Pelodiscus sinensis: one gene and its partner. The protein of the gene in region 1 purifies or fractionates together with the protein of each later gene. This does not show direct contact. Links are inferred from orthologs where the notes say so. Each region holds a gene or a part of one and is shown on either strand. Other genes may lie near its edges.

Region 1 (7,617 bases):
AAACAAGGATTTGCTTTACTATGATTTCCACTGTGTTAGTATGTCTTAGTGAGACTATTATTAATAAACTTTGGTGTGAAGTGGTAATGTACAGGCTTGTCCTTACCGTAGGCTGTACTGACATTTTCAAAGATGCCAGTGTGACCTTAATAGGGTTCCCTTCATAGTCCAATGCCTCAGCTTCTATGACATGCAATTCATCTTTGACACCAGCACCCAAACTAACCTATGCAAGAAGTGAAATATATTATCCTTTCTGAAAAGCTGAACCACCATTCTAACTTGTAAAATTATTACGATAAACTTTTACATTCAAATACATCTTCAATACATTCATGAGTTTAATATTTTTATCTTGTATGACATTTCTTGTTTATGTTTTACTATGTTCTGTAGCTTTTTTTTATATTGACCTTGTAACATTTAAGGGACAGGCTACTCTTTAAAAACTTACTATGTACTAATAAATTACTATCTGTTAAATTATGAAACATCATATTATGAATGTTGAATACTTCAGAACAAATTCTCCATAGTGATGCTGCTCGAAGTGAAGGCTGTCATTCCTCCATACTCATGCAGTTAATGTGATCAGTGTTGAAGTGTGGCTAGGAGGCAGGCATGCTGCTGGCAAGTGGCCTTTTTTGCTTTTGTACATGTAACCTTAGCTGCTAGAAGTTTGTGTATGTAGAACAATAGTTTTTTATCCCACGCTAACTGCATTAGAGGCAATACCTTTTCCTACTGTTAGGATTGTAGCAAAACAGTCGCAGATACAGAAACTTAAGACAGTATTTTTTACTGTGAACTTTCTTAGATCATCCTTGACTTAAAATACATTTGATTCCAGGGAAACCATGCTCATTTATTATGAGAAACATTGTTCTAGTAATGAACATATATGTTCATCTGAGCAGGACATTATAGTACACTAGCACATTTACCTGGTGTTGCTTGGCTCCTTAAGGAGGGACTCAAAGCAGAGGGCTGGGAATTTGGGGCGTGTGCAGGAGTGAGATGGGGTTTGTGTGTTTATGTAGGTAAAAGCCTATCCTCCAAAATCTGTACCAGGGCTGCTTGCTCTTTCCCCTTTCGGAAGGAGCAAAGCACTCCCCAGTCAGAGTGAGGAATGCAGCAAACTTTTTGTTTTCATATGTACCAACAAGTTTTATTAAATAAAGTTAAAAAAGTTGTTTTGTGTATTTTATTTTGCATTTCTATTAAAATATAGCATGAGAATCTAATAGAGAAACGCAGCATTCACCATTTTCTAACATACGTTATGCTATTTAATAGCTTAAATAAGTCTGTATATATAGTGTAACCTGGCTAGCATAAAACATCAAAAACAAGAATGTATGTAGTTGCAAATCAAAATATTTTCATAAATTGAAAATCAACATCTTTATAAACCCACAATTAAAACTGTGTATTTAAATTGTGGTTCCTTGCTTGTCATGATTAAAATCAGTGATTTAAATCCCTTCACCCTGCTATGGGGCAAAAGTGAAGTTGTACTACATCAAGTCTTACAATGGAAAATACTGAATTGTGCGACTGGCAAATAAGTGAACAAATTGCTTAGTAACAAAATATTTAAGCTCAACATCTGGGTGTTTTATTTTAGAAGTGGAGAAAGATATAATAAATACTCAGTTTGTATTACAAATCCCTTTCACTTTTCCAAAACAGAGTTCCTCTGTACCAATCTAGAATATATGTTTATTTTAAATGTTGGTTTCTCTTCATCTTCACAAAACAAGGGTTCTTAGGCAATTACTGTTGACGACTTCAAAAATTATGAAGAAAAGCTAGTAAAAATTACAGACAGAATAGAAAAGTTTCATATAATTTTACAGTGACCCCAAATTACTTTTTATAGTAGTATAATAGTTTTTTTTATAAATGTCACGATGCAGCACCAAAACACAAAGAGACACAGAATTCCATGCTGAACACAGCAGGACAGGCTGGGAGAATAATTCAGTTATTCACATGTATTGCTGCCCACCATTGGGAAAGGGGAAAACCATTCTTGCAGCTCTCCCACGTGCGTTTCCTGAGACAAGGACTTACTGTTCTCAGTGACAGCTGGTGTTCGTTTTCCTCATCATCCACCTTGAAATGAAAGTCCTTATCTGCTTTTAGCTCACAACCTGCAAGAGACACAGGGCGAGTAGGTTGGCGATGAAACGCTGCGTCTCTCCGCTTCCGCAGCATCCCCAGCCCGCGTTTCAGAAGTCTGCACGCGGGTGCAAAACGCAGACGCCTCCGCAGGCCACACCCCAGCCTGAGCAGCGGAAAGCAGCCGGCGCAGTCTGGGTACCGCAGCTCCCCGCGGCCAGAGCACGTGGCCCGCCCAGTGGGTCACCCACGGGGCCCGAGGGCGACCTGCACCAGCTGCAAAGGGTCTCGCGGGCTGGCCGGGGGATCACGTGGTAAATACGCGCCCCCAGGGTCACCCCAGCGCGTGCTCTGCCGAGCGGACGCGGCCCTTCCACGCGCTGCCACGTGCGCCCCAGGCGCGTCCCTAGGAACCAACGGCCGCCGCGGCATTCGGAGGGGGGAGGGGAGAGAACAAAGCGCCGGGCCCTGCCAGGAGCTGGAGGCCGCAGCAGGCGCCACGTGCCAGCGCGCGCCACGTGGGGCGGGGGAGCCCGCCCCTAGAGCCATCCCCGCCACCCCCCCCCCTCCCTCAGGCCCGCCAAGCCTGGTCGCGCGCCCCCACCTCACAGCCCGGCCTCTGGAGCGCGCGCGACAAGCCCGCGCGCGGCCTGGGCCCAAGCGGCTGCGCCACACGCACGAGGCGGGCGGCCGCGCGCGGCGAGGTGGGGCGGCGAGGGGGGGTTACCGAAGAGGAAGGTCTGGGGGCGCAGGGGGCCCATGCTCTCCATGTCCATGCTGCTGTCCTCCATGCTCTCGGGCCTGCTCCTCCGGCGGGCAGCGGCAGCGCTCCGGACGGAATCGCACTAAGGGACGCCTGCTCCCCGCCCACTCCCATATATAGTCTCGGCGCTCTCGCGAGAGCTGCGCCCTCCAGCCCCGCCCCTTCCCCGGGATTTCCCCCGCCGCCGCGGCCACGCGACCCCCGAGCGCCTGCGCCGGCCTCGCTCGCGTGCTCCTGCCCGGCCGCGTGAGCTCTCGCGAGCTCTGCCCCCTCCCACCCCGGCCAAGGGGGAGAGGGGCGCCGTGTGTTCAAAATGGCGGCGAGCGCCCCTCCCCCCCCCCATGTCTGTGCTGCAATTAAACAGGCCCTTCACCCAGACCCCTTCACCCCACGGTGTGACGTCGCCGGGGAGCCCTGCTCCTCCCAGTGCTTGGGGACCCCAAAGTGGGTGGCCACCAACGCGCCCTCCAGTGCGTCCACGTGCGGATTTTTTTCCATCGTGTGTGGAATAAAATGTGTCTGTGCACTAAGGCATGTGCCAATGTGCACCACCACCAGAAACAACACCCAGCTGTGCACGCCCACGCTGCAAATCAGCATTTGAATGTCTCCTGAGCAGTCGCACGGGCACATGGTTTACAGGGAACACTGGGGCTGTGTCTACACTGGCATGAATTTCCGGAACTGCTTAAAACGGAATACTATTCCGTTTTCAGTTTTTCCAGAAAAGGAGCGTCTACATTGGCAGGCTGCTTTTCCGGAAAAGCTTTTTTTCCGGAAAAGCGTCTGTGGCCAATGTAGACGCGCTTTTCCGGAAAAGAGCCCCGATTGCCATTTTCGCGATCGGGGCTTTTTTCCGGAAAAGACTACTGGGCTGTCTACACTGGCCCTTTTCCGGAACAGTGTTCCGGAATAAGGACTTATGCCCGAGTGGGAGCAGAATAGTTTTTCCGGAATAGCGGCTGATTTTGTACAGTAGAGCGTCGTTGCTTTTCCGGAAATTCAAGGGCCAGTGTAGACAGCTCGCAGCTTATTCCGGAAAAGTGGCTGATTTTCCGGAATAAGTGGCCCAGTGTAGACACAGCCTGGCTGCTTGGGCTGGCGTTAGACTTGCTGGGGCTAAAGACTGAGCCACAGGTCCCAGGGCTGCAGCTGTCCCTGGTAAGGCTCAGGTTGCAAGCTGGACCCACTGTTCTCTGTTGAGCAAGTGTGGCTCTTCCATGTGATCCACCTGGAGATGCACACGCCCTATGCTGCCATGTGCACCAAAAGCCATCCCTGGGAACAATCACCCGAGGCTGAAGTGCTTGGGCTTTTCCCCTCCTCCCAGGACAGTGGGCCTCCGGCTTTGCCTCCTCCACCCACTGCCCAGGGCTGTGGGGCTCAGGCTTTGGTTTGCCCCCGCCCTGGCATCACGTAGCATTATTTATTGTCAGAAGGGGTCATGGTGTAATGAGAGAACGTTTGCCTTCGAGTAAGTATAATGTCGATATAGCCAAGGGACTATAATGTGTCTGCCCTAAGATGACCCTACTGTTTTAAATAAATCAATATTATTCAAGAGGTGTCACTGGACAGATAAGGCCTGTCATGAGGAATGAAGCAGTTAAAATGTTCACATTCAAATTACCAATATGGGACTCTGAGTTAACACCTCACTAAGATGAATGGGGCTGATCGCAGTCTCAGACGTATTCCTGGCCTTCTGAAAACTCACATATTTTGCAACTATAACACTTGAGTCAGGTCTGCACGGCCAGCTTTTGGCAGCCTGACTATGTCAGGGGTGTGATGAGATGTCATCTCTGCCTGACATAGCTGTGCCAGCAAAAGCCCATAACATAGCTCATATTAACACTACAAAATTTCCTTTTTTTATTTTTTCCATAGGAAAATATTAACATATAGATTGTTGCTTGGTTTATGGTGTGTGTGTGAGAGAGAGAGAAGGAACACTATTTAAGGAAATTTAAGGAATGCTAGCTAAATCAAAGAGATATGTGTTGTATTTAGTTTTGAACATAGTGAGGTTTTCAGTCATTCTTATTTCATTTGGAACTGAGTTCCATAGTCTGCTTAAAGCTATTATTAAAGTTCTCTTTCCTTCAATCATAAGTCTCTACTGGGCGACAGTATTATTATTTTAGAGGAACAAACATATTGGCCGGAAAAGGGATGCAGATGAGACAAGTTGGAATTGCAAATGCAGCGGGGATTTAAATTTTCCCCGCTTCATTTGTATAAACATGGCTGCCACTTTTTTCCGGCTCGGGGCCTTGCCAGAAAAAAGCACCATCTAGACGGGGATCTTTCGGAAAATAAAGCCTTTTCCAAAAGGTCCCTTATTCCTCTTAAAATCAGGAATAAGGGAATCTTTTGCCATTGTGGGACAACCAGGGGTTGCATAAACCACCCCGCTGGACTGGAGGAGAAAAGATAGGGAGAGGGAGGAGAGGATGGAAAGTGAAAGAACCCAAGGACATGACCAAGATGGGAGTGAGAGGGGGAAGAGAAGAAGAGAAGAGGGAATAGGATGGGTATGTGAAGTGGATGGGGATGCAGGAGGTGACTGAATTGTAAAAATGAATGAGGATGGGGGGCACAGGGAGTGCTGCACTGTACACAGACATAATGGGAGTGCTGCACTGCATGGAGGTGAATGGGGTGCAAGGGTGAGGGACACACTTATTACATTGAAATAAAACAAAAGAGGCTATTTTTAAAGGGGGAAGAGAGATTGCCACTCCTCAGGATACTTGGCTTTTGGGTACTATTGAGGTGGACACTGAACAAAAATTCTAGGTATGAAGTGCTGGCTCTGAGGGAGGGCTAAGGGTTGAGGTGGGGTTTTGGGGTGCTAATTCTGAGAGCGGGTTCAGAGCTAGGGCTTGGAGTCCAGGAGGGTGTTAGCTCTGGGGGGAGGTTTGGAGGTGTGTCAGGGTGTTCGAGGGGGTGCTGGTTCTGGAAATATAACATTTCTAAATAACTGTATTGCCATTGCTGATAGAGAATCTGTCTCTTGAAAGCTGAAGAACCTAAACTCCAGGGCTACGTCTAGACTGGCATGATTTTCCGCAAATGCTTTTAACGGAAAACTTTTTCCGTTAAAAGCATTTGCGGAAAAGAGCATGTAGATTGGCATGGACACTTTTCCGCAAAAGCACTTTTTGCAGAAAAGCGTTGGTGCCAATCAAGACGCGCTTTTGCACAAAAAAGCCATTTTCGCGATCGGGGCTTTTTTGCGCAAAACAATACTGCGTTGTCTACACTGGCCCTCTTGCGCAAAAGCATTTGCGCAAGAGGGCTTTTGCCCGAATGGAGCAGCATAGCATTTCCGCAAGAACACTGACAATGTTACATGAGATCGTCAGTGTTCTTGCGGAAATTCAAGCGGCCAGTGTAGACAGTTGGCACGTTTTTCCGCAAAAGCAGCTGCAACTCAGCTGGTCTTGAGGCTGATTGTGCTTATAAACAGCCCAGACACAGCTTCAGTGGATGGATTCATTGGTGCCCCATATTACCAGCAGTTCAGAGTGCTTCTCATACCTTTGACCAATGATGCTTGGTTGTTTTCTTTGCTTGTTTGTTTGTTAGTTACAGGTAGAACTTAAGTTTTGCCCAGAGAAGTTTAAAAACATTATTAATATTCAAACATGGCATGAACACATGTATTGAATGCAGAGTGAAGTCCCGTAGGCAGGGACGGATATAGGGCAGGGCAAGCGGGGCAGCCGCCCCAGGCTCCGTGCTTCAAGAAGCCCTATGCATGCGCCGTGGCAAAGGGGGGCCCCGCGAAATTATGCTGCCCTGGACCCCGCGAAATGGTCATCTGCCCCTGCCTGTAGGCATTGTAAACTTCAGTTTTCAATATGTTAGCCCTTAAGAGGCTATTACTGAGGGGTTTTTAACTTTCAGGATTAGCCATCTCCAAGGCAAGTATGTGGCTGCAAGTGCTCCTCGAATTTGTTAGCACAAGGCAAGAAGTGGGTAGGTTGGTTGTTCTGGGTCTGGAAGCCTGGAACTGTCCCTGTTTTCCCCTCTTACCAGTCTCCTGCTAAGCAGTATTGAGTAAGGTAGACTAGCGTAGAACCAAAAATCAGTTCTCACTTCAGAAGATGATGTTTAAGGAGCTACTTACTTAGGCTAGGTCTACACTACAGCTTTTTCTGATTTTTTTTAAGAGGCTTTTTTGAAATTTGGCCCATCTACACTGGGCCAAATTTCAGAGAATCCCCCTCTTTCAGAAGATCCCTTCTTCCTCATGGAAGACAGGGCTTCCAAAAGAGCACGTTTGCACTTCCGCAAAAAGAAGCGGAAAAGTAAACATGTTCCCTGGACGCAGCAGAGTTTTTCCAGGATACTGGAAACCCCCGCAGTGTAGATGTACCCTTGAGGTACAAGGAAGAGGAAAATGGGAGTTGAAAGTAACTTAGTTCCTGTTTAAATTAGGGTTTGTATTTTAACCATAGAACTGTATTATTATACAGGCCATACTCGCCCTAAGTCCAAGATACGTTCCAAAAAACAAAACAACTTAAAGTGGGTTGTTGGGTTTTTTGCATGATTTAAGAGCAGGGAATGGGAGGACTTATAATACATCAATTCCTACAAGCCTCCGTGACTTATTGCAGAACAGATGTATACCGGGGCGACTTATAGTGGAGATGCCCTGTAGTCCCTGCTCTGACAGATTTAATGTTGCCAGGTTGAGCCTATAAAACAGAAGCCTA
Region 2 (7,979 bases), on another chromosome or scaffold:
CACTTTTTTCTTTGCATTTTTTCCATTTTTAGCTCCTTTGGCTGGAGTGGGAACTGCTTTCTTGGCTTGTGTAGCAACTGCCTTCTTGGCTGGAGTGGCAACTGCCTTCTTGGCCGGAGTGGCAGCCTTTTTGCCAGGTGTAGCTGCTGCTTTTGGGGTTACCACCTTCTTCTGAGGAACACCCTTAGGGAAACAAGACAAATCCAATGAGCATACGCAACTCCTAAATTGATTGTTCAGCTAATGAATGATATCACTACCCATCCCACCACAACCACCTATCCACCACAACCATTCAGCAAGCTAGCTCTTCTACTGGAGCACCTAGAAAGAGGGCCAATGACTATACCATAGAGCCACCTTGGCGGCTCACCACGGACTAAACGACTGTCCTTCATTTACATATAAAATATAAATCTCCCTGTTACATATGAACTTGTGCCACACCTATGCCTGTTTCTGCATCACCCACCCCCCGCCGCTTCCCTCCACATCTTGGACCTCTTGTGGTGGTGGGGTTAGCAAGTGCAAAGAGAAACCAATATTAAAAGTGCTTGGTAAGCGCTGAGTATTACCAGGTACCCTTACTAACAGCTACTTTGTTTGTGATAAAATACCCATAGCTAGCAACTCTTGAGTATTCGAGGGATGTAAAAATGTGAACCCATAGCCACTAAAAATAATGAATTACATGTGCTGCATGCACTGCGATATAAAACTTATATTGCAAAGCCCAAGCAAAGCCTCCCTTGGAGTGGAGCCAGCAGAAACTGCTGCTGGTCCCACTCCCAGGGAGAAGGCTCTGTTGCCAGCCCTGCTCCTGGGAGCCATCGTGTAAGCTGCAGGGGGTGGGAACCGCCATGGACAGCACTTGCTCCGGTGGTCCTGGCACAGCTCCCTGTCCTGGATAGGCGGGAAGGTGCTCCAGCCCCCACCAGTTAACCGGAACTAATAAACCTCAGCCGTTACAGATGAGGCTTACCGGATAAGCTTTTACATCCCAGTATTCTCCCCTAGCTTTATGGGAAAAGAACAAATTGGAAAATAATTAGTTCACTGAAGTGTTCCCTCAATACACTCAAAGCTTTACAGTGCTACATTTGAAGTCACTGTCTCAATCTATTTATTCCTCTATTTCATTCAGTGAAGGCTTCTGAGTTGTGTTTCTCAAATGATTAATTTTCAGTAACGTGTAACTGAATAGTTGCGTAATGGCATCATTTTTTTAAGCAGATACATGACTATTCGATAGTCCCTGGGGTGGAGCCGGTATCCAGAGCACTCCAGCCCCACACCTGGGCAGCCCCCGTGCCACTTTGCCCCCCCCCCTTACTGTCTGATATGGGGGCAAAAGTGCAGAGCAGCAGCAACCCCTGTCTGTGGGGAGATCCGAATTCCCTACAGAACTGCCTCTGCTTCGTAACAAAGGCCGGGGGGGGGGGGGGGGGGGAGAAGAGGAGGGGCGCCACATGTAGCTGACAGGATGAACTGGTAAACTTTTTTTTTTTTTTTTAATTGTATCCTTTGGTATATATGGTTGTGACTACTTTCTTCCACTATTTGATCTGAGGAAGTGGGTCTGGCCCACGAAAGCTCATCATCTAATAAACCACCTTGTTAGTCTTTAAAGTGCTACATTGTCCTGCATTTTGGTAAACTTAGGCTTTTTAGTTAATTGTTTAGTTAACTACGTGTCGACATCCCAATTCCCAAAGTAACATATAGCAAGCTAGAATCCAGATGTAAAATGATCACCTCTTCCTCACTGCTGTCTTCTTCCTCGGAGGACTCCTCCTCCTCGCTATCATCTACATCTTTTGGGGGGGGAGGAGCCACTTTCTTCTGTTTGGCTTGATTCTTCGGACTCTGGAAGAACGCACATGAGAGGTCACCCACTTAAGCTTCCATTGTAGAGAAATATATTTTTTTAAACGTAAAGTACCCCAAAGCCATAAAACACTTTAAGTCAAGATCCATTTTGACTTTTTCGCAAAACTGCTTCCAAACCGGCCTTGCAAGTGGTTGATTACAACGGGAGGGGGGGGGGGCACCCCTGCACGTCCACATCAAACCTAGGAACCTGCTGGCCTGTGTCCCCCGCATTAGGGGCCCAGGCGCTTCCCACACCACGTGACACGCCTGCTCACGAGCCACAGGGCGACTGCAGAAATTATTTTTTTACTGGACCAACTCCTGCGGGGGGGGGGGGGGGGGGGGAATAAGCCACGCGGAGCGCAAACCCGCCGAGGCTGCGGTGTGCGCGCAGGCGCAGAGCTTTAATGAGACAGTGGATGGAGAGGGGGGGGGGAATCCCTGGTGTATAGACACGCTGCCCCCCCCCCCCCCTTCAGACAGGGCCAAGCCCGCCCCCTATCGCGGCTCGTGCAGCCGGGGCCTCGCAAGCGCCGGGCGCCACAAAGGGCCTGGAACCACGCGGGACAGGCCGCGCCGCGTGCTCGCCGCGCCGGGGACACCACGTGGCCGCCCCACGCAGCCTGAGGCCTTCCCATCCGGCAGCGCGCGCCTCCGGCTCCGCCCCCCTCCTCTCCCCAGCGCGCGCGCGCCGACCCTCTGGCTTCCGCCGCGAGCCCCGAGGGGGAGCCTAGAAACAACTCCCCCCCCCCCCCCCCAACGGCCGTAGAGGGGCCTAGAAACCGCCCCGAACGCAGCGGCGCGGACCGCACCAAACCTAACGGGGGAGGGGGGAGGCACCATCCCCCCCCTCAGGGAGTCCCGAAACCCCCGCGCCAAGCGGCCTCTTCCCTCCCCCCTCCGGGCTGGGGCCTGGCCGAGTCCGCCCGGGCCTTCGGCTCGCCGCGCTGGGGCCTAACGGCCGCGGGGCCCCCGGGCCTGGCGCGCGCCGCGGGCCTCACCTTGGCGATCTTTACCATGATGGCGGCGGGGCGGCGCGGGCCGATCCGGGTGCGACAGGCGGCGGCGGGAGCAGCGACTCGACTGTGTGCTGCGCTGAAGTGAAAGAGTGAGCGCCGCCCCTCCCCCAGCCTCCCCCCTTGCTTATGCTTCGCTCCGCCCCCCATGGTCCCGCTCGGCCAACCCCTACGCGCGTCGCGCTTAGCTCCGCACGCCCGCCCAATCGCCGAGCTCCGAGGGGGGGGCATTCACACCAATCCGCGCGGGCTTGCCACCGGCCAATGGGAGCGCGCGTTACAGCGAGAGGTCCTGCCCGTTGGGGAGGAGGGGCAATATAGCCAATAGGCGGCTGCGCGCGGATGGGGTTCGGATGGGGGAGGGGATGGGGAAAAAGGAAGGGCGCAGCACGTGGCTCTGGGGGAACCACGTGCGTCTGGGACTTCACGCTGCGAGCACAGGGGTCGGGTCCTTACCCCATGGCGGGGGAAATGGGGGGAGACAGGAAGAGCCTGGGGCCGGCGATCAACCCAACCCTAGGGGCATGTGGCTGCATAGGAACCCCCGCCCAGGGACTAGGACAGGGCGATTTGCGCTGCTGATGACTTAGAGAGGGAGGTTTCTTAGTGATCTACACTCTTTTATGCTACTGCCCATCACCATGGTATCTGGGTTCCTTACAGTAGCAAAGTTCCTCACATATAATCAGGGTCAAATCTTGACTTTGGATAAGGACTCCCCCCTTTGTTTTGGTTTGTGAGAGTTTAAGATTAACCTATTTTCTCTCTCCCAATTTTCTTCCTTATCTTTTCCCTTCCTTCTTTATCCATCTTGCTCCTCAGTACTCTGTTTCTATCTTGTTCTTTGGAGGGGTAAGTCAACAATGCAAGTGAAGATGTAGTTGTAGTACAGTGCATTCCTGTGCTAGTTTTAATCTAGTTTAGGTAACAGTGGCACAAGTTAGCAATCAGAATGCATACCCAGGCTGCCCAGCTAGGCTAGTCTGTGATGAAGCCTTTGCCACCACTGTCCGGCTACGGTAGACTGTCATGTCTAGACTGTCATGATTTTCCGGAAATGCTTTTAACGGAAAAGTTTTCCGTTAAAAGCATGTTCGGAACAGAGCGTCTAGATTGGCACGGACGCTTTTCCGCAAAAGCACTTTTAGGCCAATCTAGACGCGCTTTTGCACAAAAAAGCTCTGATCGCCATGTTCGTGATCGGGGCTTTTTTGCGCAAAACTAATCTCAGCTGTCTACACTGGCCTTTTTGCGCAAAAGGGACTTTTGCTCGAACGGGAGCAGCATAGTATTTCCACAAAAAGCACTGATTTCTTACAGTAGGAAGTCAGTGCTTTTGCGGAAATTCAAGCGGCCAGTGTAGACAACTGGCAAGTTTTTCCGGAAAAGCTGCTGATTTTCTGGAAAAACTGACCAGTCGAGACACAGCCTCCATGTGTGCTTTACTGTCTTTGGTTACCAGTGCTACAAATCACACTGTCACTTGCAGTATGTATAGACATACCTGCGGAACACAGGCCAGACTGTGGGTTATGCTCACTTCCAATGGCAAGTGAGATAATTTTGCATGGGCAGTGGGTGACGCTTCCCCTGGGGGAGGCTAGCTCCGTGTCCAGTCTTCACCATAGCATTACTGACCCTGTCCACACTCCACCTCAGGTCCCGTCCCCCCCCAGCCTCCGTGCTTCACTCCTGCTGCTGCTGCTCACCACATCCTTCTCACTCCTCCCCCCACTGCTCGCTTCCTCACGTGCTGCCTGCCACTTCCCTCCTCACCCCTGGCACAGCGGGGATGGAGCATGTGGCGGAGAAGAGGGACACAGCAAGTGGTGGGGACTTACTGAGGAAGGGATGGGGGGGAGGGAGCAATAGAGTAAATGAGGAAAACTCACCAGGAAGCACAGCTACAGCAGGAGGTTAGGGTCTTGGGGAAGAGACGGTGCATCCATGAACCAGGTGGAAGGCAGTGATGGCCGCCCCCTGCCTATCACACTCACCACCCTGTGCAATCTTGAATTTAGATGGCATAAAAAGTAAGAGCCGTGGCACATAAGAACGCCTAGACCAAAGGCCCATCTAGCCCAGTGTCCTGTCTTCTGACAGTGGCCAATGCCAGGTGCCCCAAAGGGAATGAACAGACCAGTGATTTATCCCTCATAGACTTGGAGGGTGCCTCTAGACTGGCAAGATTTTGTCTAGGGTGCCTCTAGACTGGCAAGCTGTCTACACTGGCCGCTTGAATTTGCGCAGGAGCGCTGACTTTGTAATGTACAAAATCAGTGCTTTTTGCACAAATACTTTCCCACGCCCACTCGGGAAAAAGCCCTCTTGTGTAAGAATACTTGTGCAAGCGGGCCAGTGTAGACAGGGAAGAACTGTTTTGAGCAAAAAAGCCCCGATGGCTAAAATGGCGATCGGGGCTTTGTTGCGCAAAATCGCGTCTAGACTGGCCACGGATGCTTTTGTGCAAAAGTACTTTTTGTGCAAAAGCATCCATACCAATCTAGATGCGCTTTTGTGGAAATACTTTTAACGGAAAAACTTTTCTGTTAAAAGTATTTCCGCAAAATCATGCCAGTCTAGACGCAGCCATAGGCTTTTAAGGTCAGAAGGGACCATTATGATCATCTAGTCTGACCCCCTGCACAACGCAGGCTACACAATCTCACCCACCCACTCCTGAAATAATCCGCTCACCTATATCTCAGATATGGTTTAAAGACCCCCAAGATGCAGAGAATCTTCCAGCAAGTGATCCGTGTCCCATGCTACAGAAGAAGGTGAAAAACCTCCAGGGCCTCTGCCAATGTACCCTGAAGGAAAATTCCTTCCCGACCCCAAATATGGCGATCAGCTAAACCCTGAGCATGTGGGCAAGACTCACCAGCCAGATACTATAGAGAACCTTTCCTGGGTAACTCCTATCATCCCTCCATTGGCCAATTTACCATTGATAGTGAAAGGTCAATTAGTTACCAAGATCATGTTATGTCATCAAACCATCCCCTTCATAAACCCATCCCTTGTCACCCATTCCTAGCTTCTGACAAACAGAGGCTTGGGACACCATTCCTACCCATCCTGGCTAATAGCCATTGATGGGCCTAACCTCCATGAATTTATCTAGCTCTTTTCTGAACCCTGTTAAAGTCCTGGTCTTCGCAACGTCCTCTGGCAGGGAGTTCCACAGGTTGACAGTGAAGAAAAACTTCATGGTTTGTTTTAAACCTGTTACCTATTAATTTCATTTGGCAACCGCCTAGTTCTTGTGTTATGGAAAAGAGAAAATAACAGTTCTTTATTCATTTTTTCCACACCAGTCATGCTTTTATAAAACTCTATCATGGACCCTCCTTAGTCATCTCTTTACATGCAGATGACAGATTCCATTATACACACTAAATAATCTTTGCTGTTGGTAGATCCTATTCTGTACAAAACAGCTAAGATTTCACAGTGCAACCTGTATAAATCCAGTACATTTTAGCTGACAACACTGTCGAGAGCCCATTAGGCATGGCATTCTTCAAACAGAGTGGCTACGTCTACACTGGCCCCTTTTCCGGAAGGGGCATGTAAATTTCACTAGTCGTCGTAGGGAAATCCGCGGGGGATTTAAATATCCCCCGCGGCATTTAAATAAAAATGTCCGCCGCTTTTTTCCGGCTTTTAAAAAAGCCGGAAAAGAGCGTCTAGACTGGCCCCGATCCTCCGGAAAAAGTGCCCTTTTCCAGAGGCTCTTATTCCTACTTCCTCTTATTTCTTATTCAAAGTAGGAATAAGAGCCTCCGGAAAAGGGCACTTTTTCCAGAGGATCGGGGCCAGTCTAGACGCTCTTTTCCGGCTTTTTTAAAAGCCGGAAAAAAGCGGCGGACATTTTTATTTAAATGCCGCGGGGGATATTTAAATCCCCCGCGGATTTCCCTACGACGACTAGTGAAATTTACATGCCCCTTCCGGAAAAGGGGCCAGTGTAGACGTAGCCAGTGAGAAGCAATCCCCGTCTCAAACAGCTTAATCTATAAAATGTCACCCCTATCTGGAAGTGTAGACATATCCTTACAACACCTTCTGTCAGTGGCACCTATCACTTCATTTTCTGTGACATCACAATTCCCTAGGACGTATTAGTCACTATATTCTCCATCTCTGTGGCATTAATTCCCCGCCCACTCTGTACCGGAAGGCTGCAATGTAACAACTTTAACCAACTCAACATGTAAGTAGAGAGTGTGACAGAAAAAGGAAGATTGCATCTGCCTGACATGCAAATCAGCTAAATCTGCAAGGGGCTGGAGTTTAAATCTCTCACTCAGGGTTTTCCAGGAGGAGGCGTCAGAACCTCTATTTTTAATTTAAAAATCATAAAAACTGGTTTTTTGGCCCAAAATATAAGGCAGGAGGCAGATCTTCATAACCCACGAGTTGCTTGAGCTGACAAATGCAGAGAAGCTGTGAGCATAGTTAACATTCCCTTGAGATGAAGGGGAAAGAATTTCTCACTTTTCTTGTCGCTATTATTTTATTCTTTCTGGGGATTTACAGCGGATGGAAAAGGGCAAAACTGTAATTCAGCACAGGCTTGTCTTTACTAGAACACTAAATTGTGTCTAACAATGTTTTTAATTATGGTAGAGGGCCTGCTGCTGGCCACGTCTGACTCAACAGGGCACAAAAGGACAAGCCGTGGTCAAAGCAAGCATCATGTTGCAAGTGGTGGGTAGACCGGGAGGCCAGTAGATTTTCTCCTGAACTAACTGACAAAATGTTGACTATCATTTGCCCATGTCTGTGCTAGGGATGTAAAATCCCATTTCATTGGTTAACCAGTCAACCATGTTTAACTGGTTAATTGATTAAAGAGGGACAGGTGGGGGGTGCCTGGGTCGGAGCTGCTGTAGCCTTGCCAGGGCAGTCCCTTCCTGTGCCTCCCCTCATCCCCCTCAGATGCAGGCAGGAGCTGTTTCTGCCCAGCCCTATCTGTGGTGGGCCCAGGTGCATTGCAGTCGGGGCTTCGGTTGTTGCGCCCAGGCCGGCTGCGGCCAAGACAACCGGAGCAGCCTCTGCCTGCGACAACCCAGGCCCGTTGCA

The links.
Region 2: the proteins of NPM1 (region 1) and NCL purify together in Homo sapiens (affinity purification with mass spectrometry; 8 studies listed by BioGRID and IntAct, counting the BioPlex papers as one, with this or other methods). This does not show direct contact. The link is inferred for Pelodiscus sinensis from reciprocal best matches to the Homo sapiens genes NPM1 and NCL.

What each region holds. Positions count from the first base shown.
Region 1 is NC_134727.1:4,855,130-4,862,746, forward strand, and holds the start of NPM1 (nucleophosmin), read right to left. Parts: upstream 3,009-7,617; 5' UTR 2,916-3,008; coding exon 2,852-2,915; intron 2,157-2,851; coding exon 2,077-2,156; intron 227-2,076; coding exon 107-226; intron 1-106. UniProt on the Homo sapiens protein: Involved in diverse cellular processes such as ribosome biogenesis, centrosome duplication, protein chaperoning, histone assembly, cell proliferation, and regulation of tumor suppressors p53/TP53 and ARF.
Region 2 is NC_134720.1:50,310,348-50,318,326, reverse strand, and holds the start of NCL (nucleolin), read right to left. Parts: upstream 3,009-7,979; 5' UTR 2,892-3,008; coding exon 2,874-2,891; intron 1,867-2,873; coding exon 1,756-1,866; intron 184-1,755; coding exon 1-183. UniProt on the Homo sapiens protein: Nucleolin is the major nucleolar protein of growing eukaryotic cells. It is found associated with intranucleolar chromatin and pre-ribosomal particles. It induces chromatin decondensation by binding to histone H1.